2 linked regions of the Diceros bicornis minor genome follow. The protein of the gene in region 1 interacts with the protein of each later gene in a biochemical or structural test. Links are inferred from orthologs where the notes say so. Each region holds a gene or a part of one and is shown in the gene's direction. Other genes may lie near its edges.

What was found.
Region 2: the proteins of TOM1 (region 1) and TOLLIP form a complex in vitro, tested with the Homo sapiens proteins (3 studies listed by BioGRID and IntAct, with this or other methods). The link is inferred for Diceros bicornis minor from reciprocal best matches to the Homo sapiens genes TOM1 and TOLLIP.

What each region holds. Positions count from the first base shown.
Region 1 is NC_080764.1:14,276,362-14,291,312, reverse strand, and holds the start of TOM1 (target of Myb1 membrane trafficking protein), read left to right. Parts: upstream 1-7,351; 5' UTR 7,352-7,433; coding exon 7,434-7,485; intron 7,486-14,951. Other genes in the region: HMGXB4 (HMG domain-containing protein 4), read left to right, coding at 1,276-1,398, 1,889-1,933.
Region 2 is NC_080770.1:696,109-712,037, forward strand, and holds the start of TOLLIP (toll-interacting protein), read left to right. Parts: upstream 1-10,289; 5' UTR 10,290-10,338; coding exon 10,339-10,371; intron 10,372-15,929. UniProt on the Homo sapiens protein: Component of the signaling pathway of IL-1 and Toll-like receptors. Inhibits cell activation by microbial products. Recruits IRAK1 to the IL-1 receptor complex. Inhibits IRAK1 phosphorylation and kinase activity.

The sequences.
Region 1 (14,951 bases):
CAGCAGAGAGAGGAATGCTAGGAGGAGGGGGAGGGTGTTTCTCAATACAGCATGTTGAGATTGAGAAGTATCCAGAATGAGAGACCTAGCAGGCACCCAGAAATGCAGTCTTGGAGATGAAGATGTTGGTAATGAGAGTAATAATTACTGATAGTTTTTGAGCACTTACCATGTACCAGGCACCATCCCAAGTACAGTCGTGCACTGCATGGTGACATTTTGGTCCACAACAGACCACATATACGACGGTGGTTCAATAAGCTTGTACCATCTAGCCTAGGTGTGTAGTAGGCTATACCATCTATGTTTGTGTAATTATACTCTGATGTTCGCACAATGCCGAAATGGCCTAATGCCGAATTTCTCAGAACATATCCCTGTCGTTAAGCGACGCGTGACTCTACCTTATATCTATTATCTCACTTAATCCCCTCCGTGCTACAGATGCTATTAGTACTCTATTTTACAGGCACAGCATAGTTAGCGGCTTCCCCAGTACAAAAACAGTGAGTGGGATAGTCAGATTCTGGACCCAGCAGTCCTGAGCCCAGAGCTCATTCTCAGAACGACTTGCTGTGCTGCCTCCCTAGATGATGTATTCTCACGGTACATCTAGTTGAAGCAGATTACACAAGAGCCGGGCAGCAGTATTTGCAGCAAGCCATCTTATTTCTTATCTCTTTGAATCACAGAGATGTAGACAGTATGAATTGTACAAGATGTTGAAATTAACCAAATTCACTTCTTTTTGAGGGTCAGTAACCCAGAAGAGTGATATCATCAGCTATCAAAAGCCACATATATGGAGATATATGGAGAAGTATGTGTGTGTTTATATTAAATGTTAATGTATAGGGCTGTAGAATTCTTGTAGTTATCATATTTGAGCTATATTTGTGGAGTTCATAAGAAAAATACTTTTGCATACATGATCTCCACAAATCTTCCCAGCAGCTCTGTGGAGGAGGTAAGACATTTTTTACTATTTCTAAGTATAGGCATTTTTTTTACTATTCCTAAGTGACTAACCCAAGGTTGCATAGAGGGTAAGATGGATTAGGAATATAGAAAGGAAACCTGGGAGTGTATTGTAAAAAGTTTTCTTTTTAAACAACTTACAGAGTTATCAAAGCAGATACCTTCCATTTTTGCTGCAAGTTTCATAGAACTGCCTAAGACTTAAAGAACCCTGTAAGGAAATCACCCAGAACATGGAGAGCACCCAGAGTGTGATTCGAGTTACAAGTTCCTCCCCTTTAATGCTCTCCCTTTCAGGGCATGGTGGCCGTGTCTGGCAGTTTGTCCGTGCTTCTGGATTCCATCATCTGTGCGCTTGGCCCCTTGGCGTGTCTGACCACACAACTACCTGAATTGAATGGCTGTCCCAAACAGGTCTTGGTGAGTTTTCCTTGGATTTTTTGGGCTAAACTCCTTGGGAGGCAGAGAGGCACTGCCTGAATGAGCTCTATCAGGCACAAGCTCCTAAGGCTTCCTGGCCTTCCTTTGCATATCGGCCCATGGAACACGATACTGTATTGTTGAGTGTGTGCCATTGCTTTGGTGAAACGGGAAGACATGCCATGTCCTAAAATAGTCCTTTGAAGAGAAGCATGCCTGCCCTAGAGGGCTGCAACTCCTGTGTTTCCTGTTTGCTCTTCCTCACGCAGAGAAAGTACAGGAGTCTTCTGCCTCCTTTCTACCATGATTAATGGGAGCAGTCAGTAGAAAAGCTCCTGGCATGACGGACAACAGGATGCCATCTTCATTCTCCCCTGTTGTCTCTAACTCTGGTTTTTCTTTCTCATCTCTCTGCCTTGAACAAAGAAATGTGCCTCGGGGAACTAAGGTAAAGTACTCTTCAGTTGAACCTTTTTCCCTTGTTTTGCAGTCAAACACATTAGACAACATTGCTTACATCATGCCTGGACTGTGACAGCAGAGAATCCTGGGACAGAAACCTTACCGACCCCATTGCTGGTTTGTGTGTATATGACTGTTCCAGATCCCCTCACTGGCCTCTGGGTGTAGGTTTTAAATTTTTATATATATACATATATATATATATAAAATGTACAATATTTACATAGGACTGTAACTACTTTGCTTTTAATAATTTTATGAAATGGCAGAGGTTTAGCCAAGAGGAAACCTTGGCATGAATGTGGGCTTGGGATTCTTTTTTCTCCTGTGGTGGATAAATCTGCCTTAAAAATCAATGTAACTTGGGGACTGGAGGCTTGTTCTGGGTGCCAAGTGCATCTCTTTATGGACAGCTAAAATGTAATTTTTTTCCAAACTCAGTTGTACCTCCAGACCCATCACTGACCATTTGCCTTACCTGTCTTACAGTCTGAAACGTAGTAGGAAGGATTATGGGAAGATGCCAGTTGACTGAAAGTACAAAGCCTTTCAACTTGAAGTGACCTAGGTGGGAGGTGATAAAATTGTTCCCATCTTACAGTTAGTGCAATGGCTTCGGTGAACTTAGTAGGGGGTTCATTCCAATTCCTGCTATACAGGTGTCCGTGTCTCAAAATTTATTGTAATCATTGGTACTGTTGGTGGCCTTGGTAAGGGCCAAGGAGTTATGTGAGTCCTGGCGGCATAAAACACCTCGGAGAGGTAAAGCTGTCAATGCCGCCAGTTGAACTGCATATATAGTGAGCTGACCCAGAATATTTGATCTGCAGAACTAAGAGCTGGTATCGTCCATTGGCAGCATTAGCTTAGCCACCGAGTCCTCAGAGGTTCTGCTGCTTAGTTGCTTGGTGGTTGTGGAAGAGGAACTTTACCCAGCATGATTCTTGGGTTCATCTTGTTGGCTCCCCTGGTGGGCAGATACACAGTGTTCTGCATTCCACACATAAGTGAATTGCAAAAAAGTACTCGATTCTCATGTAGATTTATTTATGTGCGCGTGTGAATGTGTGTTTTAATTATGTGTATTTAACTCTTTAAAATCTCTTAGATTTTAATTTATCCTGTAAATTTCTGTATATATAATTTAATAACAAAAGCCTCCACCAGCAACAGCATGTGGAAGATACAGGTTTGTCATTTCTTCCTTCCTTCCTTCCTCTGGTCTCCTCTGAAAACTCCAAATCATCTACATTTGAAGGTATCGTGCCTCAAAAAGGAATCATTATGTCAGGATTCTAATTCTTTATAATTCAATAATGTCAAGAAAGTAAAATAAAAAGGAAACTTACCATTCCCAGCTGCCCTTATTTCCAAAGAACCAGACTTTTGCTTCCCAGTTTCAAAGAAGACTTCAGGGTTGTTTTTAAATTAGGTGTGAGATTCCCTGCCAAAACCAAGCTCGGAGGTAACCGTGCTTTCTTCCCCGGGTCTAGACCAGCCACTGCAGCATCAGAGTAGATCTTTGAGGACAGTGCGGCCAACCTGCATCCTATTTAATTCCTTCCCTTTCCCCACCAGTGTGGTCACCGGGCTGTGTTTCTTAAAGGTATTCTGGCTGCTGAATGCCTTTCTCAGCTCAGAGCAGTTCTGAGATTTAATTGGAGAAACAGAAAGAAACAGGAACGTTTGGGAACCAAAATCAAGAAGAGCAGAAATCTTGGTTTGATTTCGTGTGTGAGAACCTGTACCACCCCTCTCTGTACCCATGGAAGTTTCCTGTTTGACACGGGGATCAAGGGGGGCCTTGAAGGCATGGATTAGTACAGAAAGAAGTCAGTCCTACCATTGTCATTTGCACACATTAATGGAATCCTGATGAGGACCTGCTTTTTGTTTGTTTTCCTTTAAAATCCAACCCTGTTGTATTTGTATTTAAAATTTGTACACATTTGTATAATAATCTGTATCTTGTGGTATTTGGTACTATTAGAGGAAAAACTTTGGATTCAGACCTTCTTGCAGTTTTTATATCATTGTTTTATTTTGTTTTTTAAATAAATTCTAGCAGTTTGATCCAAATCCCATTACAGTTGTATAAAGAAATAAAATTTTGTACTTATATTATTAAAAATCACATTTTTATTATTTGTAGTCCAGTCTCAGCTATCTTTTCCCTGCTGCTAACCAAAAAAGCTACAAAATTATAAAACCTGTTTTTCACACGATATCCTACAATAATTTTCTTAAAAAGAAAAATCCATCTGGAATAGAGGTCAAGTTTCTGATCTTAGCCATTTTCCTAGCACACATCTTGCTCTGTTTCTATTAACTGTTACATTGTGGAGTCTCTCGTGTTCTCTCTTTTACAAATTGTAAACCCGGTAGCTCTGATAAGTGCAGCTCTATTCGCTGGCAAATGAAATTGTATGTACATTGCAGTGTTGGCCTAACTCAAGAAAATGTCTATCAGTCTTATATAAGGGTTGCATCTGAATCACGTGCTTGAATATATTTCATACTGTTTCAGTACTGTCCTGACTTAGTGAGTGATGTTGGTTAAGTCACTTAATCTTTATAGGCATCCAAAGTCCCATCTGTAAAACAGTGTTAATGTCACTTTCCTGATCCAAGCCTGCAGCCAGCCAGTCTGACATGAATATTTAATAGTATTGTGAACATTTAATATATAGAGATTTGACCTTTCGAGGTAAAAATTTCAATGCAAACACAATATGTTAATAGTTATAAATAGTGAGACATTATGATTGATTAAAAGGATAACTTCTTATGGAGAGGCAGCAAGGAAGAGACCACCATATTACTGAATGACTATTATAGAGTGATGTGCATATTTTATCTCACTTAATCCTCCGAAAAGCCTTATGAGTATTATCCCCCTTTACAAATAAGGAGACAGATGTAGAGAAGCACTTTTCCTAAGTTTAGACAGCTAGTAAATGGCAAAGCCAGATAAGCACACTGGTACAGCTGACCCCAAAGCCTAGGCCCTCTCCTACCCCAAGCCACTTTCACACTTAAATTGTGTGTGTAATTCATCAGAATCCTTCTCTGTTATCTATAGTCCTGAGCAAATGTGATTGTAGGGAAACTATCTGAGACCTTTTCATTGTTCCACTGTTGTTTTGTCCTAGCTGGCTTTCACTATACAGGCCTCACTTTTCTTGTCATACTATTGTCTTTAAACTTTGGAGGCAAAGTATCTTGATTTTTGTCCAAAAGTACTTAAAGGATGTAATAGATTACATTACATTTATGCAATATGTCAATCTTAAGGAACTTAAACATTTTTACCCTCAGGAAGGCATTTGATATTAATATTGCTAAAACACTTAAAAGGAAAAATTAAGACAGACTTTTTACTAAATGAGTTTGTTCCTTGTTTGCAAACACTTTTAAAACATAGTTTTAATCAGTTTTGTACTACACTTAATATTTGCCATTTACATTCCTGTCATGTTGACAAAATCCACACACTTCCTTTGCTAATTTAATAGCTATATAATATTCTGTTTGCACGGAGTTAATATGACTGCACTCTGTGTTTGGGGATATGTAGGTTGTTCCTGCTTTTTTACCATGAAGGATAAAATTTATGTCTGTTTTATTCTTGGCAGTAAAGCCAAGATCTTCTGCCCATAATCACTTTAAACCAGAGTGATCCAAGAAGGCAAGAACTTCTGGTAAATCACCACCCAACATGGGAATGTTCAAGATTGTTAATGGAAGAATCCAAAAGAAATTCGTGCTAAATATACTCCATACAACCAAGCCATATGCTTAAATGAAGAAAAACATGGAAGGTACCTGACATGAAGTTCATCTTAAATATACATCCCCCTTTATAGTCCAAATACCATTACTGAAAGGTAAATTATTTAAATTTTCATGTTAGTCACTGCGCTAGACAACAGTGGTGAGCAAAACACAGTATCCCAGCCCTCACAGAGCATCCAGAGAGGGAAGGCGTTTATTAAAAGGTCTCATGAGCATTATTAAAACACTTCGGAGGGGGCCAGCCTGGTGGCGTAGTGGTTAAGTTCGCGAGCTCCGCTTCAGCAGTGGGTTAGGATCCTAGGCATAGACCTACGCACCACTTATCAAGCCATGCTGTGGCAGGCATCCCACATGTAAAATAGAGGAAGATGGACATGGATGTTAGCTCAGGACCAATCTTCCTCAGCAAAAAGAGGAGGATCAGCAACAGATGTTAGCTCAGGCCTAACTTTCCTCACCAAAAAAAAAACAAACACTTCAGAGCTCAGGAGTACATGACTTCCATAAAGTTTTTCTATTGTACAGTAAGGATGTCAGCCCCTATGGCTGCTCGAACAGGTTAACATACAAAAGTGATTGAAGTTCTAATGTAGATTTTCCATCCTAATTTTGTGCAGAGTCAATTTACCAGCCTTGCAAATTTAAAAATCACAAGAATCATGATCAATAAATAGTAAAGCACCCTGCAGTAGCCCAAACTACCAAAGCAGTGGTTATTGTATCTTTTGGAATGCATGTCATTGGAAGGAAAAAACATAACCAATAGATCAGATATCTAACGTGTAGGTGACATATCCAAAACATGGTACACAGTCAGAAAGGCCGAAGAAGATATTCGAATTACAAAGCTGGGAAAGGCCTTTGAGCTTTTTGGAGTCCACTGCTGTACTTTAGGGACCCAGAACCTCCCTGAAGTTAAATTATATCTCTGCCTTTTTTCTTCAGAAGGGCTCATGGCTTTCTTCAAATTCTCAAAGGAGACTGTTACCTAAAAAGAGGAAGGTTACGAGTCCCTGATCTAATTCCAGCATCCAGAGAAAATGGAAACTCGCTGTTTGAATCACACAGTAAATTAACAGCAGAGATGGGTCCCAGGCCCCACTCGTGCTTTCTGCCACCCTGGGCGGTAGCCCATCCCTAGCTGTAATTCATGGAGTTGGCTCTCAGTGGCAAGAGATCGCAAACCCCTGGCCCTGGCCTCCGATTTGAGGTAAGCGAATCTGGGCAGCAAGCAGGGCACATGTTGCGTCAGGGAGACCTCGACATCAGATAGGGAAAGTCCCATCAGGACAGGGCGACAACAGGCCAGAGAGGCTGTCAACCCCCGCGGCGGGTATGTAGTCACAGTGTGGTCGGAAGGGCTAAGGGCCGAGTGAGAGCTGTAGTCTAAGCGTAACCTTGCCCAAGTCACTTCCCTGCTCCCACACCCAGTTTTCCAGATGCGTTAAGATGCTTAGGTCACGCCCCTAAACCTTAAATAAACGTCGAGGGCGTGGCTTAGAGAGGTCCACGCCCCCAAGTCCGCCACCGCCCCACGTCGTGCGTGACGTCCGCCGACGCCGAGTAAGCCGCAGTGACGTCATCGCCCTCCCCCCTCGGGACGCCCAACCCTTCACGTCAGGGGCGGGGCCTGAGGCCGCGCTCCACACTCCCTCTGCCCCGCCCCCACGGGCGCCTCCTCGCGGACCGTCCGGCACGTCACGTGACGGGTCGGCAGCGCCGGCGGTTGCTGTCAGCTGATTCCCCGGGTTGGTGGCAGCCGCAGCGCAGCAGAGGCGATGGAGTTTCTCCTGGGGAACCCGTTCAGCTCTCCGGTGGGACAGCGCATCGGTGAGTCTCCGGAGCCCCGCCCAGCCCCGCCGCAGGGCTCTGCTTCCGGCCCCGACCCCCCGGGGCGCCTCCGGGTCCCCGGTCACACACCGGAGGGAGGCGGGGAGGGGAACGAGGCCGGCGTGTCTCTCCTGAACCGGCCCCGCCCAGTCTCCCACCTTGATTGACAAACTCCGTGGTCCATTAGGAAGCCTCGACTTGTGATGGATGCTTACGTCAGCCAATAGCTAAAGAGAGAGGGCGGGTTCGGGAGGCCGCGGCTCAGCCAATGTGCGGCTACTGTGGTCCCGACTCCACGGAGAAAGTTTGGGGGGTTGAAGGGTCTGCGCGGTTTTGCAATTCTTGCGCCCCTCGACTGTTCCCCGCGTCGCGCCTCCAGTGCGGGTCGCGCCGCCTGGGGTCTTGCCGTCTCCTTCCTGCTCGCCAGGCTCTCCGCACACGGATACCTGAGAAGGGCTGAACGTCCATTCTCCCAGGACCAGGAGTCCAGGGCTTGGCGTCTGGGCGACGACCTGCGGGGAGGGGCCGGTCAGCCCTGCCTGCCCCGGGCCCGGGCTAGACGCTGGGGAGCCCGCTCGACCAGGCGGCCATGCCTTAGCGACCAGGGTCTCAGGACGTGCTTGCCCTGGCAGTCCTCACCTGCTGGCATGAGACCCACCGCCTAGCGTCGCAGACTCTCTGGGCTGGAGGTGATCTTAGAAGCCACCTGCTTCGGCCTCCCTCATTTCCCGGTAGATGATCAGCCAAGGGCTCTGGCTGGAGACACAGGCTTACTGGGAGCCCAGGTCTCCTGACTCTCTTGCCGCCTGTTGACGGGAGACCTACAAGTCTTGTGATGTTGCCTCACTGTAGAGCTCAGGCTTCCTCATCCGTAGTTAGGGGATAATAATGGTCCCTACCTCCGTGGGGTTGTTGTGAAGATTAAACTCGTTAATAAATGTAAAGTACTTAGAACAGTGACTGGCACATGGCCAGTGCTATATAAAAGAAAGTCATAGTATTTATTATCGTTGTTCCTGATATACCACCAAGCGAGGGTCGGAAATCCCTGGAAATGGCTGGGCGGTAGGTCTCATGGGTGCTCATTCCTGCCCACCAACACGGGGAGGACGCACAGGCCCTGGCCCAAACAGCTAACACTTCTCCAGGGACGGTCTGGGTGTGCCTCCTTCTCCCATGAGGAAACCACTGGCAGTACTGTGAAATTCTCTCTTCATCTTTTTGATGGTTTTTAGCCTTAAGTCCAGACTGGGAAAATTGTATCTTTTAGACAAAATATTTTTTCCATTCTTACCGTCTTGGAAGCCAAACCTTGCTCAAGTCTGCGGACCCAGCTCTGTGGTGTAATGTCCAACATGACTGTTTGTGGCTCTTCTGAGGTTTTGTAATCACCTCTCTCCAAGAAGGGGGTGGCAGTCAAGGATTTACACACCAGGAAGCTCCTGGACCAGAGAGCGGAAGCTGCCCTCTCAGGACCACCGTTCCGGGACCTCCCCCACAAGACGCTACACACACACACACCTCCGGGACCTCCCCCACAAGACACTATACACACACCAATGAGTCATTGTTTTGGAGCTGAAAACAGAAAGCAGCTCTCCTCTCGTCTTTATTTCTCCAGCTACAGATAGCACTGCTTTCATCACATGCCAAGTTTGAGACTTCCTACTTAAAAATAAAAAAAAAAATCTGGCCTTCAAAGTCAGCCACAGGGCTGGCCCCGTGGCTTAGCGGTTAGGTGCGCACGCTCAGCTGCTGGCGGCCCGGGTTTGGATCCCGGGCGCGCACCGACGCACCGCTTCTCTGGCCATGCCGAGGCCGCGTCCCACATGCAGCAACTGGAAGGATGTGCAGCTATGACATACAACTATCTACTGGGGCTTTGGGGGAAAAAAATAAATAAATAAAATTTAAAAAAAAAAAAAGTCAGCCACATATTCCTGAGGATTTCTAGAAAAGTTCACGTGGACTCTGGGCTTTAGCTGATCGGAGAAAACAGCTTCTCTTCTACCCTGAAGGGTTTCGAGTCTTGGGCAAGAGGTACTCTGTCGAGAGAGAATACTACTAAATCATAGCACCTCAGAGCCCAAACCGCCTTTTACTGCCGGAAGGGTCCTTCCCCTGGGGACCTTCGAACCCGGGGCTCTCAAGTGTCCCCTGGAAGACTTGTTAAAGCGCAGGTGGCTGGCCCCCACCCCTAGAGTTTCTGACCCTCTACGTCTGGGGTGGGGCCCTAGAATTTGCATTTCTAGCAAATTCCCAGGTGATGCTAAAGCCACTGGATTGGAGGGCCAGCCCTGTGGCTTAGCGGTTGAGTGCGCGCGCTCCGCTGCTGGCAGCCCGGGTTCGGATCCCGGGCGCGCACCGCTTCTCCGGCCATGCTGAGGCCGCGTCCCACATACAGCAACTAGAAGGATGTGCAGCTACGACGTACAACTATCTACTGGGGCTTTGGGGGGAAAAATAAATAAATAAAATCTTTAAAAAAAAAAAAAAAAGCCCCTGGATTGGAAACCACATATTGCAAACCTCTGTTCTGGTCCACTCCCTTCATTTTACACAAGAGGAAACCGAGGCCCAGGGAGGGGAAGGTGGAGACTGACTCACCCCAGACCCCAGTGAATTGATAGTGAAGCTGAGATGAACTCCCCCAGAACCAGTGAAACTTGAGCCAAAGCTGAAGAGGCTCTAAAAGTAGAATTAAATGAAGAATAGCTGCGATCTGAGTTAATGCCCTCAGTAGTCTGTGTTTTTCTTGTGGATAAAGAGGCGGAAGTACTGCTGATTGGCTGTGATTACTGATGACCCACTGTTAGCCGCTTGTATTTCTGTCAGCTGCAGGAGTAACATAATCTCTTCTCAAGCCTGCCACCTCCATCCCCTTGTTGAGAGGAGAGCCCTGTAGAATTGGCATCCCTGAGCACAGTGGGTTCTACTGGTGCTCATCAGGGGTGTCACTTGACTCACAAGTGCGCACACGCTTGGACACACACACACACACCCCTTTGTGCTTGCTGCACCCTCTGCCTGGAATGCTGTCCTGTGTGCTTCCTTCAAAGTCGCAGGCATCGTCACCTCCTCCATCTCCTCCCTGAGGGGTACCCTGACCCCTTCCCTGACCCCTTCCAATCCAGCCATTGCTTCTGTGTTCTCCCTTCAGCCAGCTCCTCAGGCTTCCTCACTGTCTGCCTTTGGGCTCGGAGCCTCCACTTCCTCCTGGGTGGAATGTGGTTATGACAGCATCCGCCTGTCAGGGTGGTTGTGAGGATGAAGTGAGACGCTCCCTGGAGAGTGCCTGGCACGCCTCGAGTGTGCGGGAAACATCCGCTTTGCTGTCATCATCGTCTTTTTTATTATTTCCACTGGCCTCACACGCGTGGAGCACTGTCCCATTCTGTTCGTAGTTGTGCATGTGTGTCTCCTTGAGAGCAGGGAATGTACCTTATTTATCAGGACCCTTGGCACCTAGCATGGCCCCTGGCGTGTAATAGGGTAGAAAGGAGAAAAGGAAAGTAACATTTGTGGGCAAATACCATGTGCTAGGCACCGTGCTAGTATGCTAGGTATTAATCTTCACAGTGACCCCACAAGGTTTTGCTATTTTTTCTCATTTTACCAAAAGTAAGTCTGAGGGAAGGTCCAAGGTTTCCCAGCTAATCAGGGTCAGAACGCAGACCCGGGTTTCTCTGGCTCGGAGCCCAGGTCCCCCCCTGCACCCTCAACACATTGCCTCTGGCTGATCAGTTCTTACTTGGAGTTTACATTAGTCCAACGCTCCGAGGTCCACAGTTGCTGTTCTACCCAGAGACTAGCTTTTCTGGTTATGACGCACACGTGGGTCTGTGTGCATTTCCAGATCACTCACCCTTATCTTTTAGTAGGAGAGCTTCCCAAGGGCAGCAGCCTGTGGCAGAAAGGATCCCAGATCATTAGAACTAGGTGGTGTTGACACAGCCCTCTTCTTCCAAGAACTTCAAAACCCTTTCCAGTATCCTCCAAGGACAGAACTTCCTGGCTACATTTTGTAGACAGATGTCAGAAGGCACCCCAAGAATCCCATTTTGAATTTCTGGCTGTCAGCTTGGGCACTTTGAGCCAGAGACCCAGCTGACTTATTAAAGCAAGCTGCAACCAGCAGACACTGTAAATATGGGCAGTCCCTGGGGACCAGCCCCTAGTAGTTGGATCTAAGGGGAGAAGAGTGCAGAGCCTACAGCTGAGCTCTGGGGTAGACGGGAGAAGGGGAAAGTGGATGGAGAGAGCTCTCCTTGGACCCATAAAGGGCAGGGGAGCCACAGGAAGGGATAGGAGGTGAGAGACCACAGATGCTCGTAAGGGAGAACACCCTGGGCCCTCTGGGTGCCATTTTGGGTGTGATAAGCTGGAAGCCAGACTTGGACACTCAAGCGATGTTGTTGAGCAGGCAGTGGGCTGGGAGGCAGGAGACCTGGGTCCAGCTCCGGTTCTGCTCCTGCCTGTGTCACACTCCCTCCATCGCCCATCCCCTTATCTGTAACGTAGAAGTGCTTCCGTTCTCCCTCTATTTCCCAGAGGATTGATGAGGAACAACTGAGGGGGCAGATGAGGACAAGGAAGGGTTGATACTAGAGGGAAGAAGGAGACTGATGGCCGTTGTGGAGCAATAATAGAACTGATTCCACGAGGCTCAAGGGCAGACTGTGATGTTACAGGAGAAGGAGCTCAGTGCCAGCATAAATAGCTGTCCCTAGCACCTTTCAAAGATGGACCGGCTGCCTTGTTTGGTACTGAGCTCCCCGCCACTGGAGGTGTAGGCAGAGGCCAGAGGGGAGGGAGGCTGTAAAGAAGATTCCTGCTGTCAGGGTGGACTAGACCAGGCTCTGCCAACGTTTTCTACTGTAAAGGGCCAGAAAGTAAATATTTCCAGTTTTGTGGGCCTTATGGTCTCTGTTGCAGCTACTCAGCTCTGCCGTTATAGCACAAAAGCAGACATGAATGGGCGTGACTATGTTCCAATCAAACTTTATGAACACTGAAATTTGAATTGCATGTAATTTTCACATCATGAAATATGATTCTTTGGGGTTTTTTTCCCAACCATTTAAAAATCTGAAAACCATTCTTAGTTCTCGGGCCATATAAACAAAAACAGACTGAGATGGGCAAGTGGGTTCATAGTTTGCTGACCTCTGGGTCAGAGCTACTGGCCAGAGGCAGAGTGATGGAGGGCGGTGTTCTTCCAGGTGGGTCCCAGAACACCCACATCAGAGATGCTTGAGGGCACTCCTGCCGTGGGGCCACTGAGTCAGGACCTCTACCGTTTCTCACAGCATGGCCTGGGGAGCCCTCACGTCTTGGAGCTCCAGTCCCCTGCTCTGTAAGTGCTGGAGCCAGGTTAGAGCCCAGGTCTCTGTCCTCAGGATAACAGGGAGTGATGTCCAGGAAGGGCTTTGTGTCAACTGGCCGCGCGGTACCCACAGCCGTCCAGGATGAGCTCCTGAGTCAGACCAGATCGTCTGAGTCCTGGTTCGGCCTTCACTGGCTTTGTTTCCCAGGGCAAGTTACTTAACCCGTCTGTTCTTCAGTTTCCTGTCTGTAAAATAAGGACGATAATAGCACCTATCAGTTGGGATTGCTGTGTTTTCGTGTCGTAAAGACCGTAAAGGTCTGCCTTATTGTGCCTGCCAGACAGTAAGCATCCATAATTGTTAGCTATTGTGATTTTTTCACAGGCGTTGCCATCATTGCTGGGGTGTAGTCTAAGTTAGTGGCAGAGCAAAGGTGCCAACCCAGGGCTCTGGCTCCAGTGCAGCATCTGTGTTGGTCTTGGTGTCACTGGGAATGAGCAGTCACTGGCTGGGTGGCAGTCACATTCACAGACAGGTCAGGTTTCAGGCTGTGCGGGGGAGCTGATTCTCACTTGGGAATTAAAGCCTTTGTCTGACCCCACGGATGGAGCTGGTGAATAGGTTTTGTTCCCTCACTGAGCTCAAAGAAATAAGAGTCAAGTCCCGGATTTCCACTCCTCTGGTTTTGGAAAAAAACAAAAACCCTCAGTGTCTTCTAAGTAGCTTGGGGCCATCACCCTGTGAGAAGCAGGGGGACTCAGGACAAGTTAACTCTTTACCTCCTTACCAAGGAGGCGGATCTAGGCTACGGTCCCCAGACTTCCGTCCTTCATGCGCCACCTTTAGTTTTATTTTCATAGTGTTTTCCTTTTATGGGCTCACCTTTTTTAATTTGACCTCATCCTGTGTAATTATATCCCTGAAATCATGACTGATGAGCTAGTTCATGTTTGTTTTTCTATTCTACATTAAAGAAATATGCAGGTCTAAAAACGTCTTTAAGTTGGCCCATGAGCCCACCTCCCGTGATCCTGGGTAGCACGTTTTGGTCACGTGGATGTAAGTGGTCTGAATAGGGACAGGGCTTGGACCCTGCATCAGAAGACCTGGGTTCAAGTGCCAGCTCCACCCCTTTTCAGCTGTGACCCCCATGCCATGCCAGACATGGGAAACTTAGCAGTTGATGGAGCACCAAAAAGTGCCATGGACAGCCAGGCTGCTGTGCAAGACCCGGGGAGGGCCTGGGCTTCACTCCTGATGGGGGAGGTGGAGAAGGGGGGGAAGCAGGAGGGGAGAGGAGCCAGCCAGACCATGTGAGGCTGAGACCAGCAGAATTTAAGCACAGACAGAGGTGTCCCTGTTCGACTGGAACTTGTTTGCACTGATGCAGTATAAACGCCGGGGGGGTTAACTTTATGTGTCAACTTGGCTGGGCCATGGTACCCAGATATTTGGTCAGACATTATTCTAGATGTTTCTGTAAGGTATTTTTTAGGTGAGATTAACATTTAAATCAGTGGACTTTGAGTAGAGCAGATTACCCTCCATAAAGTGGGTAGGCCTTGTCCAGTCAGTTGAAGGCCTGAATAGAAGAAAGACTGGCCTCCCCAGGGGCGGAAATCCTGCCTGCGGATGACCTCTGGACTTGAGCTGCCTCTGTGCTCTGGATCTCCAGCCTGCTGGCCTACCCTGCGGGTTTTGGACTTGCCAAGTCCCCACCATCCCATGAGCCAATCCCTTCAAATAAATCTCTCTTGGTAGAGTGTGTGAGTTGTCAGTAACATTTTTTACATTCACACGTGGGGGGAGGAAAAAAGAATGTCCTGTCCACCTGGGCCAGCCACTTCAGGCATCTGCTTTCGCAGCCTCACTCCCTCTTACCTGGATGGTTTTTACAAACCTTTCTTTGTCTAACTGGAATTTTCTTCAGTTAGATACTATAGTTAGTTACCTCAACTTTGAAATTGTGGGTTGCAGAAGTTGTGCCTTCTGTAAGGTATTTTAGGGTTCCTCTTGTGGCCTGTGGTTACAGAATGGCAGGGGAGAGGCAGCCAGGGTTTTGAGGAAGGACAGCTTAGCAATTTAGGAAACTGATGGAACTTTCCATGCTCGGTCTGGAGAGAGCTGTTCATTTGGAAA
Region 2 (15,929 bases), on another chromosome or scaffold:
TTTCTCTCCTTTGTTTTCATTATGATACAATACACATAACACAAAATTCACCATTTTTAAATGTACAGTTCAGGGGCATTAAGCACATTCACAGTGTTGTGCAACCATCCTCACCACCGTCTCCAGAACTTTCCATCTTCCCAAACTGAAACTCTGTCCCCAGTAAACACTAACTCCCCCTCCTCCAGCCCCTGGCCCCTCCATCCTACTTTCTGTCTCTGTGGATTTGACGACTCTGGAGACCTCCTGGAAGTGGGATCACACAGGATCTGTCCTTCTGTGACTGGCTTACTTCACTCAGCGTGATGTCCTCAACGGTCATCCACGTTGTGGGCGTCAGGACTCCTTCCTTTTTAAGGTAAGTGATGTCCCATTGTGTGGGTGGAGCACATCTTGTTTATCCTTGTTTTGCTCCAAATGAGCCTCTTATCTAGGCAAATGTGACCTGAGGGGTGTGAAGTGGGCATTAGATGGAAGGGCGGTGCTCCTGTGCTCGGTGGTCTTCCCTAAAGGGTTTCATCCACGGGCAGTTTTCCCTACTGAGCCCGACTCCCACCGCGATGCAGGCGAGGGCAGCGGACCCACAGCCACGGGAAGCGCTGTGCCGGATGCCGAGCTGGCCAGCTGGCTCCCCCAGTGGCGAGTCCATCTCCCCAGTTCCAGAGGGGGAGCCACTCCAGTGGGCCTGGAGGACAGAGCATGGAGGCAAAGAGGATTCTTCTCCAGCCTTAACATCTGATGGAATTTGCCCTGCAGGGTTTAGGACTGCTGGGGCCTGTGCCCTTTGCTTCTTTCCACTTTCTTCCTCTTGGAATGGAGGGTCTGTCCCATGCCCGTCCCACCACCGCTTCTTGGAAGCACATGACGTGGTGTCTGGCCTCACAGGTTCACAGCTGGGGGAGAGGGTTGCCCCGGGACGGTTGTCTCACCCCGAGAACCCCGAGTCTTACCTACTCCCGATGTAGATTCGGATTTGGAACTGATGCTGGAACGGGGAAAGACCTTGGTGATGTCGGGGGGGTGGGTGAAGGTATTCTGCTTCCAGAAGGACCTGAATGCTGGCGCGGCACGGCGTTTCCCACTCTGCAGGGGGCTCAGCCCAAGGTGCTGGCTGGCGTTTAGAGGCTGCTCCTGGCACTTTCCTCTCGGGGGCCCAGGCTTTCCCAGGGCAGCAGTGATGCTAAGATGCCCTCTCCTCCATTGTGCAGAAAGCAGAGAGGCGTCCTGCCCTGTGCTTCCCAGGAGCCCGGCCTCTTACGTCCCGTGGAAAGCTGTCTCTCACTGTCAGTTTCTTGGTGTCCCCGGGCCCCGCCCCCACTCCCAGGGTCTGACCTGACCAGCCTGTCTGCAGGCGGGTCTTCTGTTACTCCAGACCTCATGGCCCCCCAGACGCCCCCCACACGTGAACCCAGAGTGTCCAATCCGACTCAGGACCCCGTGCCCACCTCAAACCACCCCCTCCTATGTCCCAGCCAAGGCTACAGGACGCAGGGAGCCCAGAATCAGGGCATGTGTGAGACGAGAGAGACGGAGTTAAACCTTAAGGTCAATGCAGGCAGAGTGACAGCTGTCAGAGCTCAGATGACCCAAGGGCTGAGGGGCTCCCTGTCCAGCAAGGCTGAGCAGGAGTGCACTTAGGGACAGTGTGACATTTCCAAGGGAAAACGTGTGTGGTGTGTGTGTGTGTGTGTGTGTGTGTGTGTTTCCAGGTGTCAGAAACCCTGACCCAAGGACTCGAGGTGCTTGGGGTCAGGGTGCCCCACCTCTGGGATGTGTGGCAGGTTATTGGTGGTCCCAAAATATGCGTCCAAGGCCTAACCCCCAGAGCCTGTGGGTGACCTTATTTGGGAAAAGGGTCTTTGCAGCTGTAGCTAAGTTAAGGATGTCAGGAGGAGGGCGTCCTGGATGACCTGGGTGGGCCCAATGTGTGCCAGGGAAGAGACAGAAGAGACAGAGAGAGAGAAGGAGGCCACGTGAAGATGAGGCAGAGGTTGGGGTGATGTGGCCACAAGCTCAGGAACGCTTCGAGCCCCCAAAAGCTGGAAGAGGCAGGAAAGACACTCCGCTGGAGCCTCTGGAGGGAGCAGGGCCCTGCGACACCTGGATGTCGGACTCTGGCCTCCAGGACTGTGAGAATAAACATGTGTGATGGGAGCCCCCCATCCCAAGCGTGTCCCCAAAGGGGCCGACTGGCCATAACGACGATGATCTGATGGACATGGGATTATCCATGCGTGGGTCTGTCTGCAGGGCAAGGGTGAGCCCGTCCGGAATCCCGGGTAGTCGGCTGCCCTCTGTCCACTTGGTGGGTCCTGGTTCTCCTCACCAGTTTCATGATAATCCCAGGGCTCACATTTCCTGACCACGTGCCAGGGTCTCCTAAGACGCCGGACCAAAATGACTTCTGGTGTGTGACCTTTACGGGTCCCGTGGGTAGATATTCTCTCGTCTTCACGGGTGAAAAATCGAGGTCTGAAGAGCCCCCCCGACCCCGATTGGCGCCAGGCCATGCAGCGGGTGGTGCAGAGCCCGGGTCAGCACCGGTTTGTCTCCTTTTTCAGTGAAATAGTAGGAGACAGACGGTGGCACAAGGAGCTCCCGGTGACCGGGCTGGCCGCCGCCGTGTTCCCCACGCCTGCTGTAGATCTTTGTTTCTTTATAAGAGATTGAACCTTTCAAGTTTGGGGCAGCCTTCCCAGAACCTAGCTCCTGTCCCCTCTCCCTGGTTCTCTGTTTCCTTGTCCCACCCGTGGATTCGTGGGGTTTTGTGCTGTAACCTCTGGGGGTCCCAGGTGCAGAGCGGGGTCGGTCATCCTTCTCACTTTCCCCATCACTGGCGAGTGGCCATCTCCTGTCTGTACTTCCATCTCTCGTCCCTCGTGGACTCCCCAAAGCCCTGATGTACCTGCTAAGCTTGTTTGGAGCACGGGGAACACACCCCCTACTGTGCACGTGCCTTTGTGAAGCATGTGGTGTTCTGTGTTTCTTTAAACCTCTTCACGGAGATATAACTCACATACACTGAGCTGCACACGTTTAAAGTGGTCAGTTTTGACTTTTGCAAATGACCCGGAAAGCATCGCCACAATCAAGATAATGAATGTGTCACCCCCCAAAAGTTTCCTGTGCCCCTTTGTCGTCCTCCCCCACATCTCTCTCCACCCTCTCTCTGCCCGCCCCTCCTCACGGATCCCCTTTATGACGTCACAGGTCAGCTTGCATTTTCCAGAATTTTAAGCATGTGGAACCATACAGTACGCACTCCTTTACGTCTGGCTTCTTTCACTCAGCAAAATTATTTTGAGATTCATGCGTGTTGTTGTCTGTGGCAAGACCCCATTCCTTCTGTCGCTGGGTAGCATCCCGTTGGGTGGATATACCCCCATCTGTCTGTGCACAGGTTGATGGACATTCGAGTGGTCTCCAGTGTCAGATCATTACCATTCAAGCCGCTGTGAGCATTCTGTGTAGGACGTGTGCTTTCATTGTCTTAGGGAAAGACCCAGGAGTGGAATCATTTGGCAGGCATACGTTTATTCTCTTAAGGAACTCAATAACAAGGAATCAAAACCTTTTGAGAAACTGCTAACCTGCCTTCCAGAGGGGTCGCACCATTTCACCATCTTGCCAGCAGTGCATGAGGGTCCCAGCTCTCCCACTTCCTCACTGGTACTTGGTAAGGTCGGTCTTTTTCATTTCAGCATCCTAATCGTGTGTAGTGGCATCTCATTGCGGTTTTAATTTGCATTTCCCTAAAGCCTAATATGTTGGACATCTTTTAACGTGCTTATTTGCCGTCCGTATATCTTCTTTGATGAGGTATCTATTCAAATCTTTTGCCCATTTTTAATTGGGTGGTTTGTTTTCTTGTTACTGAGTTTGAAGGGTTCTTGACATATCCTGCATACAAATCCTTTATCAGATATATGATTCACAGGTATTTTCTCTTGGTCTATGGCTTGTCTTTTTATTTCCTTAACAGTGTCTTTCGAAGAGCAAAATCTACTAAATTTAATGAGGTATAACTTATCATTTTTTTTCTCTCATGGATTGGGCTTTCGCTGTTGTAGCTAAGAAATCCTTACCTAAGTCAAGATTACAAAGATTTTCTCCTGTTTTCTTGAGGAAGATTTATATTTTTACATTTTACATACAGATCCGTGATTCATTCTTAGTTAATTTTTCTATATGATGCAAGATATGGATCAAGGTTAACGTTTTTGCATATGGAAACCTAATTGTATATGGATATCCTACACTTTTGTGAAAAGACTATCCTTTCTCCAGTGAATTGCATTGGCATTTTTGTCAAAAATTAATTAACCAATTTGTAGTTTCTGGTTCGGCATGTAAGAAGCTTGAACGTCGCCACCCGTCCAAACAACAAGTGAAAAACTGAACAAAACAGGGGCAGCCTGGTGGTGTAGTGGTTAAGTTCACACCCTCCACTTTGGCAGCCCAGAGTTTGCGGGTTCAGATCCTGGGCACGGACCTACACACTGCTCATCTAGCCATGCTGTGGTGGCGTCCCACATACAAAATGGAGGAAGATGGGCACAGATGTTAGCTCAGGGCTGATCTTCCTCACCAAAAAAAACCCACGGAAAACTGAACAAAACAAAAATCAACAACCTTCTTTGATCCGTAGGACAAGTGAGGTCACAGGGCAAGCTGCTGCCCCCAAGTTGGAGAGAGAGACAGGTGAGCACAGGGAGTCAGGGCTCCCTGGAGCAGCTGTCTCCACGGGAACCAGTGCTGGTAGGAAACCTGAACTGTAATTGCTGAGCAGCTGGAGGCTCGGTGGGGACAAGCCCGAGAGACAAAAACTCCGGGGGGACCCCGTCATAGGAGCCCCACGACATTGTGAGATTTACCTCCGGGAGCTCCATCAGGTTCTCACAGCAAATATCGGAGAGAAATCCGCTGTGCTTCTGGCAGAGGGAGGGCAAAGGACCCATTTTGAAATGGATGGAGAAATATGTATCATGCTAATACTAATCGGAAGAAAGCAGGAGTAGCTATATTAATTTCAGACAGAGAAGACTTCAGAGCAAGGAAAGTTATCAGGGAAGAAGAGGGGCATCATGTAATGATAAAGGGGTCACTTCTCCAAGAAGACATAATGATCCTGAACGTGTATGCACCTAACAACAAAGTGTCAAAATATGTGAGGCAAAAACTGACAGAACTGCAAGAGAAACAGGCGAATCCACAATTAGAGATGGAGACTTCAACAACCCTCTCTAAGAAATGGGCTATGCAGTCGGCAGAAAATCAGTCGGGACACAGTTGGACTCAACTACACCATGAATCCACGGGATTTACCCCCAAGTATTTGATTTTTTTGATGCTATTGTAAATGGTATTGTTTTTTATTTCAATTTCTGATGGTTCATTGCTAGTATGTGGAAATACAATAGATTTGTGTTTACTTCCCTTAAATTCTGCAAACTTCCAAACTCACTAATTAATTCTACTAGCTATTTTGTAGATTTTGTGGGATTTTCCACAAAGACAATCATTTTGTCTGTGACTAAATAAGGTTTAACTTGTTATTTTTAACTGGGACGCCTTTCATTTCTTTTTCCTGCCTGATTGCCCTGGCTACAGTCTCCATTACAACGTTGAATAGAAGTAGTGAGCGAGAACATCCTTGCCTTGTTCCTGATCTTACAGGAAACATTCAGTCTTTCACCATCAAGCGTTGGCTGCATGTTTTTGGTAGATATGCTGTATCGAATTGAAGGAGCTCCCTTCCCCTTCCTATTCCGCAGAAAGTTAATACCTAGGATGGAGCTTGGATTTTGTTGAACGCTTTTCTGCCTCTCTTCAGAAGGTCATCTTGTTTTTCTTTTTTACTCTGTTAATGTACAAATTACATTGGATGATGATTTTCAAGTGTCAAACCACCCTTGCATTCCTGAAATAAATGCTATGTTGTCATGAGGTATTACTCTTTCTATATATTGATGAATTCTATTTGGCAAAAGTTTTGTTAAGAATTTTGTGCTGTGGCTCATGAGGAATGCTGGTTGGCAGTTTTCTTTTCTTGTAATGTCTTTGTCTGGTTTTGGTACCAGCATAATGTTGGCCTCACAGAATGAGTTGGAGTGTATTCCCTCCTCTTCTATTTTCTGGAAGAGCTGGTGTAGGATTGATGTTATTTCTTCCTCAAATATTTGTAGAATTCACCAGTGAAGCCATTTGAGCCTGGAGTTTTCTTTGTGGAAAGGTTTTTACCTTCTTTAATAGGTAAAGGACTATTCGGGTTATCAATTTCTTCGTGATTGAACTTTGCTAATTCGTGCCTTGCAAGGAATTTGTCTATTTCACTGCATTTCATTTCATTTAAGTGAAGCTGTTCATAACACTCCCTTGCTATTCTTTTAATATCTGTGGAATCTGTAGTGATGCCAACTTTCTCTCTCCTCGTATTGGTGATTTGTGTCTTCTTTTTTTCCTGATCAGTCTGCCCAGAGGTTTATCAATTGTATTGATCTTCTAAAAGAATGAGCTTTTGTTTTCAACAATTTTCTCTGTTCTTCTGTTTTTTATTTCACTGATTTCCTCAATGACCTTTCTTTCCTCCTTGTTTTCTGCTTACTTAGAATTTAATTTGCTCTTCTTTTGCTCGAGTCTACAAGATGATGGCTGATGTCAGTGACTTGAGGCTTTCCCTCTTGTCTAACACCGGCCTGGGGCCCCTACCTACTGCTTTGCTGCACCCCCACAAAACACGATGTGTCTTCAGTTCAAAAATATGGTCTTATTTTCCTTTTGGTTTCTTTGTTATATGGGTTATTTAGTTGTGTGTTATTTAGTTTCCAAATATTTTGGAGATTTCCCAGGCACCTTTATTATTGATTATTGATTTGTTGATCTTTATTACTGATTTCTAATTTAATTCCATTTTGGTCAGAGAACATACTTTGTACGATTTGAATCATTTTAGACTGTTTTTTGGCCCAGAATATGGTCTTTCTTGGTAAATGTTCAGTGTACACTTAAGAATGTGTATTCTGCTGTTATTGGATGGAGTTTTCTATAAATACCAATCAGGTCAAGTGGTTTATAGTGTTGTTCAGTCTTTTATACCCTGCTCAGTTTCTATTTGTTCTATCGACTGTTGAGAGAAGGGTGTTGAAATCTCCAACTACAGTCGTGTACTTGTCTGTTTCTCCTTGCAGTTCTGTCAGTTTTTGCTCCAAGTATTCCAGACGTATAAACTTTTAGGGTCTTTACGTCCATTTGATAGGTTTATCCCTGCGTCGCTGTAAGATGACCCCTTCATCTTGGCAGCGTTTGGGCAAAGCTTCGAGTATTCTACTCAGCGTCCCGTGGGTCATGTGCCTTTTTACTATGAGTGGTGGGAACGGGAGCTACCACTGGCCCTGTGTGGGCTAGTGGTATTACTTCTGTAATTCTTTCAAGGGGTTCTTTCCCCAGCCTTGGGCAGTTTTATCACTTTACGGTGTTCGCTGATCTGTGCTCAGCCGCAGGCTCCAGGGGGAGCCCCTGCGGACACCGTTGCCCTTTCTCTGTGCCACTCTCTCCCCTCTGGTACTCCGCCCCGCCAACGCTGCCTTCCAAGTCTCCTTGACGTCTCAGCCAAGCCTCGGCTCAGGGAGACCACTGGTCTTGGCCTCAGTTCCCCCTCCCTGCACAGCGGCCTGGAAACTCTCTCCTGGCTGTACACAGAGGAAGCCCTAGGGCTTACCTCATTTGTTTCCTGTCTCACAGGGACCGCTGACCTTCATTGCCGGATGTCCAGTGTCTTGAAAACGGCTGCTTAATATATTTTGTGTGGATTCGAATAACGTGTACAAGTTGTTCTGCAAACATCTACTTACTGTTTCTCCCCATTGCGTAGTATTCCACAGTGTATACCCATCGCACTTTATTTATTCATTCCTGCAAAGATGACTAATTAGACTACCAACTTCTGCTACACAAACAACCGTGCAACACACAGCCTTGACTGCGTTCCCTTGTGGATCAGTGTGAGGATGTTTCCAGCCTATCTCTCAGGAGAGAGCTCATGGAGCACATGTAGTTTGCTAAGCACGGCTGCATTGCTTCTTGGAGAGCCTCCTCCAGTCTGCAGGCCTACCAGCGACACAAGAGCTTCCCATCGCTTCAGTTCTCACCTAGACCTGATGTCCCACCCTTCCTAGTTTTTACTGTTCTGATGGATGAAAAGTGGTACCTAGTTGCTGTTTTATTTCTCTTATTCTTCACGAGTTCCAGCACCCCTTCATATACTTGTCAAGCATCTGGGCTTCCCCTCCTTGAACTGCCAATTTTCCTTTTTTTTTTTTTTCTCCTTTTCTCCCCAAAGCCCCAGTAGATAGTTGCACATCATAGTCGCACATCTGTCTAGTTGCTTTATGTGGGACGCCGCCTCAGCATGGCCGGACAAGCGGTGCGTCAGTGAGCGCCTGGGATCCGAACCTGGGCCGCCAGTAGCGGAACGCTCGCACTTAACCGCTAAGCCACGGGGCTGGCCCCTGAACTGCCAATTTTCAACATCAGTTCACTTTTCTGGTCTCCTTTTCCCTTGTGACGTATGGGAGGTGTTTATACACTGTAGACATTAATTGCTTGCTGGTGTTCATCTGTCTGTCATCCTTATCTATAACGCAGATAACAAAAGCATGGACTCCATAGCATTGTTGTGTAAATTAAATGAGATAACACAGGGCCCAGCCCCGTGGCCTAGCAGTTACGTGCTCTCGCTCTGCTTGGGCAGCCCGGGGGTTGCAGGTTCAGATCCTGGGCGCGCACCGACGTACCGCCTGTCACTCATGCCGTGGCAGTATCCCATATAAAGTAGAGGAAGATGGGCACAGATGTTAGCCCAGGGCCAGTCTTCCTCGGCAAAAAGAGGAGGATTGGCAACAGATGTTAGCTCAGGGCTGATCATCCTCACACACAATAAATAAATAAATAAATAAATAAATAAATGAGATAATACGTATAATGCACTTAGAACAATACCTACCACAGATGAAGCACTCAGAAATGTTATTTTATTATTTTCATTACTCAAAGAATCCCACGCAAAGCTGTGCAGAAAACCCGTCTGGGGCTCTTGGTACATTAGGATGTTCCACGAATGCCGAGGCCGACATGTGCCATTACGAGTTGGAGCCTGGACACAGGGGTAATTCTATGATCAGGCTTCTTAATAACTCTTATCTAGAAGGAGAGAAGACTGGAGGGAGGGTAAGGTGTAATTGGTAAGCAGCAGCTGGCCAATCAGCCAGGATAGGGAGGTGTTTGTCATTGGGCTTGGGCGGTGTTTGTCTTTTGTCTGTGTTCACACGATTACAGAGTGGTCGTGGTTTTCTACTGACAGTCACTTGTCTGATCTTGTGAAACTGCTCATGTTCAACAGCAGAACTCCAGGCCCAGCACAAGGGAGGCCTTTCTCCCCTCTTTCTCTGACTGAAAATAAGGAAGCCTCTACGGAGACTTGAAAGGAATTCCTTATCTCCTGCAGCTTGGGGGTAGATAGGGCTGAGGGCTGGGCAGAGAATAAGGGGACCGTGAAACGACGGTGGAGGAAGGAAGCTGGGATTATCAATTTAGGCCTCATCCCTGACACATACATGGAGAAGCAGCATATTCTAGAAATAGCACCCTATTTCTGCTTATGTCGGTAATTCCCCTAAGAAGCACCGTCGATGATCACGCTTCAGTTCTGCCGCGGGTGGGAGCCCGGCTTAGCTGGCCCGCCCGGTGTCCCCGGAACACGCAGGCCCTGCGTCTTCCGAGAACTGCAGCCCACACGCGCCCTGACTCCTGGTTTCTGAAACTTAAACGTAAACGCTGCTCCCGGAGAGGGTACAGGGAAAACCAGGGCTGGGGGTGACACGTGCCCCGGGTAGGAGCCACATCCACCCGCGGGCGCCAGTCCGCCCCTCGTGGTGTCGCCGCCCTCCTTCCCGGGGGCCTCCGGACGGTGGCCCTCCGCCCGGGGCCCGCCCCCTCAGGGCCGCAGACCCGTCGTCCCCAGGGCTGGGCTCCGCGAGCCGCCGGCCGACGACGGGCTCGGACCAGGCCCCTGACCCCGGGCGCGGGCGGCCGGCGGGCATGCGCAGACCGCCAGCTCAAGAGCCATTTCCCGGGGCCGCGGCTCGGGGCGAGCGACTGCGCAGGCGCCCGCCGGGAGCGCGCGTGCGTGCGTGCGTGCCGGAAAGGGCGTGCGGACGGCGCGGGGGCGGGGCCGACGTCAGCTGACTGTGGCGGCGGCGGCGGCGGCCTCGCGGGCGCAACCGTCGGCTCGGCGCCGTGGGTCGCGGGCGCGGCAGCTCTCGGCGGGGCCGGCGCAGCGCCATGGCGACCACCGTCAGCACGCAGCGCGGCCCGGTGAGCTCCGGGTGGGAGGCGGCCTGCGGCGGCGGGCGGGCTCGCGGCCTCCGGGGCGCACCGGGAGGCCGACTGCGGGCTCGGGGCGAGCGAGGGGAGGCGGCCGGGCCGAGTCGGTCCCCGTTGGAGGAGCCCCCACACCCCGGATGGAGGAGGCCCGCCCGCCAGGGTGGGTCCCCCCGTTAGAGAAGGTCCCCGCAACCTGGGCGGTCCCCGGATGGAGGAGGCCCTCCACCAGGGTGGGTCCCCCGATAGAAGAGGATCTCGCAGCCTGGGTGGGTACCCGGATGGACGAGGCCCCCTACCAGGGTGGGTCTCCCGTCGGAGAAGGTCCTCGCACCTCGGACGATCCCCGGATGGAGGAGGCCACCCACCAGGGTGGGTCCGCCAACAGAAGAGGATCTCGCACCCCGAGTGGGTCGCCTTGTAGAAAAGATCCGCGTACTCTGGGTGGGTCCCAGGATGGAGGAGGCCCCCTGCACCCCGGATAGTCCCCAGGTGGAGGAGGCCCCCCACAGGAGTCAGTCCCGCAGATGGAGGAGGCACGTTGCTCCTAGACTGTGCCCTTACAGAGGAGGACCTGAACCCCGATGGTCTCTTGGGTCCCCAGACGCCCTCTCTTCCTCCGGGCAGAATGAGGCTCAGAGGCCCAGCTGTGTCCCGGGTTAGTGGCCACTGCTCAAACCCTCAGCGTTTTCATTTGCAAATGAAAGGATGGGAGCCGAGAACCCGGGAGTGCCCTCTGACCCCCAGCTCTCTCATCCCGGGGCTTCCATGCGGCTCAGTGCTGACTGTGCCGTGGCAGGAGGACGGGTGTGGACCCGCTCAGCAGGCTCCGGGGGAGTGGCCCCCAGCAGCTCCTTCACACTGGGCTGGGTCGGGTTGTCATGAGCAGTGAGGTTCTTATCAACAGAGGCTCAAAACGTGCAGCAGAGGAACATTCTGGTCCTTTTGAGTAGGGAGAAAGGTTCTTCTGATGGACAGTATCAGCGCCCTCACTCGGGAGGTCCGGGTCACCAGCGCTCCTCACCCTCCCTCGAGGCCGGGTGTTGAGGATCCTGCTGTGTCTCTCCGGCTGGGGAGGAATCCGCGCCACAGGACGTTTCTCCTGAGTGTGCAGGAAGTCCCGGGTTTGGGAGGGGCCCCTCTGGGCCCAGACGCTCGTCCTGAGGGCTCTGAATTGGACCTGACCCACACTTCTTGTCGGGCTCGGTGTGGAAGCGTCCAGAGTCCTAGAGAGATTCCCGTCTCTCCGTCCTCACTCTGTCACGGGGAACTAGAGCAGGGACTGCCAGCAGCGTTTCCTTCTACACTGCAGGCTGCTCAGAGAAGCGAGGGCACTGAGCACGCAGCTCCCTCCTCAGCCCCGGGGAAGCCATGGGCCTAGTGGTCAGGCAGCCCCGCCCGGCCAGGCCTGTCACGTGTCCTCAGCCTCCTGGTCCGGGGCCTCGCTGGTGGGTGGGACTGGCTGAATCAACACGCCATGCGGGGCTCAGTGTCTGCACGAAGGGAGCACTCAGTAAAGGTCAGCTTGTCCTGTCCTGAGGGAGACCTCTGCTCTGTGACCGCCGTGAGAGTGTGGAGCGTCAGAGGGAGTCCCACCGGGGCCCCGTGCCGCCAGAGTGCTGACGGTCCATGTGTCTGGTGCTTCCCGGGTTTTCTGTTGCAGCGCCTCGTGTGGTCCATGTGCATTGGTGTGCAGCACACGTGGACCAGCGGGGGTTCTGGGGCGCCTCCGTGACCTGTCCACGGCAGTAACGCTGGGTCTGGGCCAGAGCTGCTGGGGGCTCCAGAAAGGTGTCCTCAGTGGCTGGGGTCTTGAGTGCCACTGGAGGACTTGTGACGTGCTCATTCTGCCAGTGGTCCTGATGAGTATATTGGGCAGTGCAGTCCTGTGAAGGACCGGGTGTGGTGCCTGCCGTCGGGTTCTTACAGCGTGGCACGGGAATGCCTAGCACCTGAAACACACGGATGAGCCATGCGGTGATGGGCACACCCAGGTCTGTGGATCTTAACTCGAGTTGGGCGTCAGCAGTGGCCTCCCCTGGGTGGGGGTCGGAGTGAGTAAGGTTCTTGGAGGGAGGAGCAGGAGTTGTGGGGTGGGTGGGAGAGGGGAGCACTGAAAGCAGAACTGGGCCGGTCTGGGAGATGGAGAGGGAGAGGCCTGCTTGACGAGCCGGGGTGTGGCGGGCTCTGGAAGGCGAGGAAGGGTCCTGAGTGGCAGTGCCTGTGCTGGTGTGTGAGGGAGCAGCCAGTGTGGCCCGGGTGCTGTTCTAGACGGCTGGCAAATGGATTTGGCCCTTGAGTGTTATCAGGTCACTACAGTGTAAATTGTTTTTCAAACGTTTTTGCCTGGCACACCCTCTTTACTTTCCACCTCTCCCGCCCAGCCTGCAACCCTCTCGTTAACCAGTACTTGTAAGGACCCTTCCCAGGTATTAGCATCTGGACAGCTCTTCCTTTTCCAGCGTGCTTTGGCTTGATACTGATTGAGCCCCCACTCTGCGTTGTGTGCTCGGTGCCAGCGAGGTTCAGGGATGAGCAGGGCGCTTGGCTTGTAAACAGGAAGACGCTGCGATCCCAGCTGGTGCTGGTGAAGGTGGCGCTTGGCAAGTGCTCACTGTGCTAGGTCCTGGCGGGCAGCACTCCTGTGTTAGCCCCGTGCCGTCCTTCGGGCCGGTCCCTGCCCGCACAGGTTGGCGTTCAGCCAGGGAGCCCGGAGCCTGGACTTAGGCTTGCTCCCTCAGGCGACTCTGAAGTCTGACCATTGCCCCCCGCTGGTGATAAAGCGGTGACAGGCAGAGCTCCTGGGAAGCTGGAGGAGGAAGGACAATCTGACAGGGCTGGGGAGATTCCTTTGTCCTTGAGCAGGGCGCCTGAGGGGGCTCTTGAGGTGGGCGTGATGAGGAAAAGTGGGAAACTAGCTACTCCGACTCCGTGCCTTCCGTTTGCTCTTTCTTCCGCAGAGCTAATATGGTTCTTTGCTTAAATTTCAGGAGATGTGGCGTTTACAGCCGCAGGATAGGTTTTCCTGGGTGGCCCTTGAGGCATGCCCCAGCCCTGAGCTGTGTTTGCTCCCCTTTATCAACGCTAGTGTTTTTGTAATGACGACCGTTTTCTATCCAGTGTTTCTGTCCAGTCCACAAAATATTACAGAGGCCCCAGTGGGCACCTACAAGGAGTAATTGTGGGGGCCTCCTGCCTTCAAGTTAGAACGCTGGGAGGTTTGCAGGACATGCTGCTTTAAACCACAGCGGCGCAGTCAGCTCGAGGGGACGGCAGTCGAGGCTTAGTCGGGGGCAGCTTCAACTTTTTTGGCAAGCTTCCTTCATAGATGTGTGAGTGTGTCCCACTGAGTCCAGACTGGTGGGGCCCCAGGCCGATGGGGGATCCAGGCTGATGGGTGGTCCAGGCTGTTGGGGGCCCAGACTGATAACAGCTACTTGTCCCGCTTTTGAAGATGCTGGTTGATCTGCAAGTTCTGGGGCAGTCAGCGAGGCCCTGCCTTTTTAGGCTGCCTTTTCCGTCTTGAGCCCTGTGGGCGATCTGTGGGTGGTGCTGGTGGCCCGTGACTGTCCAGATCCTCATCAGCCTTGGCTTGTTGATAATTGTTGCTGAACCAGGGACTTCATTAGGGGTGGCAGAGGGTGATATTTGTGTGTTCTCACTCGTTCTACATTTATTAACTGGGGCTGTTCATCAAGATGCGCTTTCTCCACAACCAGAGCTGTCTGGCTGCCCTGAAGTAGTTTGTACGGGAAAGGCAAGATAAATGCTTGGTTAATTTAATTTCCCACATTCAGAGGAGGGAGTTGGTTTTCTTTTTGGATTGTGTTTGGCTTTCTCCTTTCTGAGACTGTTGTAAGCCCGTGGGTTTCATACGTTCGCTGTCCGAGTCCCTGACACTCTCTTCTTTCTCAGATGAACCCATCTTACCCTGCCAGCGCCTTCCTGTGGGCCCTGGTCCTGGGCGGGCCGTGAGCGTCCCCACCAGCTGGTGGAGAGTCCTGTTTCTCCGCGTCCCTGTGAGCCTTTGCTCAGGATTCTTTGAAGCTGAGTCGTTAGTGTGTCCACGTTTAGAATTGCAGCGTCTTCCTGTAAGCCGGCTGTGAACAGCGACCTCGCTGGCCTCGCGCAGAGCCTTTCTTATCTGGTGTGACGCCAGGCGGCTACGCCTGCTTTCTTTGAGGGAGTATTTGCCTGGTGGGGTTTTTTTCGTTCTTTGACTACGTCCTTCTGAACATTTATGCTTAGGATTGGTCTGTTGTCAGCAGCATAGGGCTGGATTTTTAGAAAGTCACTTCTGAGGAGTCTTAGACAAAGTGTAAGTCTTTTTCTTTTAACTGGAACATGTTAAATAGTTCTATATGTATTGTTACACACGCTTTTTTTCTTTAAAACACTTCCTTTTGTGCTTTTATTTGTCCTGGTTTTCTTTTTCTCTCCTTGCGTTCTTTTGGATTGACTGAATATAGTTTTTTTAATTCAATTTTTTGTTCCATACTGGTTTGGAAAATACATATTGTATTTCTGTTCTCTTGGTGGTTATCCTAGAAGTTTGAACACACAGGCTTATCGGGACCTAAGGTTAGTCATCGTATTTACCCTCCTCCCGATGAGTGTGCTGCCTCATGTGACCTCTTCCCGGCCTCCGTGCTGCTGGTCGTGTGTAGTGGCTCCTTGCTTTTCCTGTCCCTCCTTGCGTCTCAGACCTTCCATCTGGGAGCACTTTGCTTTTGCTTCTGGTTCATCCTTTAGAACTTGCTTTGGCGGCAAACTCTCAGTTTTTGTGTATGAGTGCCTTTTCTCTAATTCCTGAAAGATATTTTTGCTGTGTTTGGAATTCTGGGCGACAGTTGTCTTCTCGTCCATGAAGGTCTCATTCTGCCATCTGAGGAGTCGGTGGTTGCCGTCCTTTCCTCAGGCTCCCCTTCCCCTCCCCTGTCTGTGTCTCCGTGCATTCAGCACCCTCTGGCCCCTGCTCTCCTCTGACAGCGGCTGTGAAATCTGCCTGGGAGTGTTTGGTGTGAATTATTTGAGTGACAGCTCTCTAACTTTGGGCCAGTTGTTAGCATCTTTGTGCCTCGGTGTCCTCTTGTATAAAGCTTTCTCACATGGTTCTTGTGAGGATGGACTGAGTCAGTGTGTGTAAAGCGTTTGCCCCAGCCCTGGCCTATGGGGTGTCCTGGAACGTGGGAGCTTCTAGGTCCCTAGGAATTATTTTTCTTGTCTCAAAAAACTCGGCTCTTCCTTCTAGCCCTCCCTGCCTGGAGTTTTGTGTGCACCGTTTACCATCTACATGCCTCCTACTGTTTCCTCTTGCTTCAACAGTGGCTGGACTGTGCTGGGGGGTTGGGTTGTGCGGGGCTGTGGGTCCCAGGAGGGGCAGGTGCATCAGCTGAGGACAGGAAGCCGCCTGCACTTTGAGGGACTGCGGGAGGTAACTGCAGGTGGCGGGAGCGTGCTTCAGGCAGAGGGCATGGCAGCAGCTGGTCTTAGGTGTTGGGAAACTCTCCCGGGGGAGTGCTAGGGCCTCTCGGGCTGCCGCCCAGGGCACA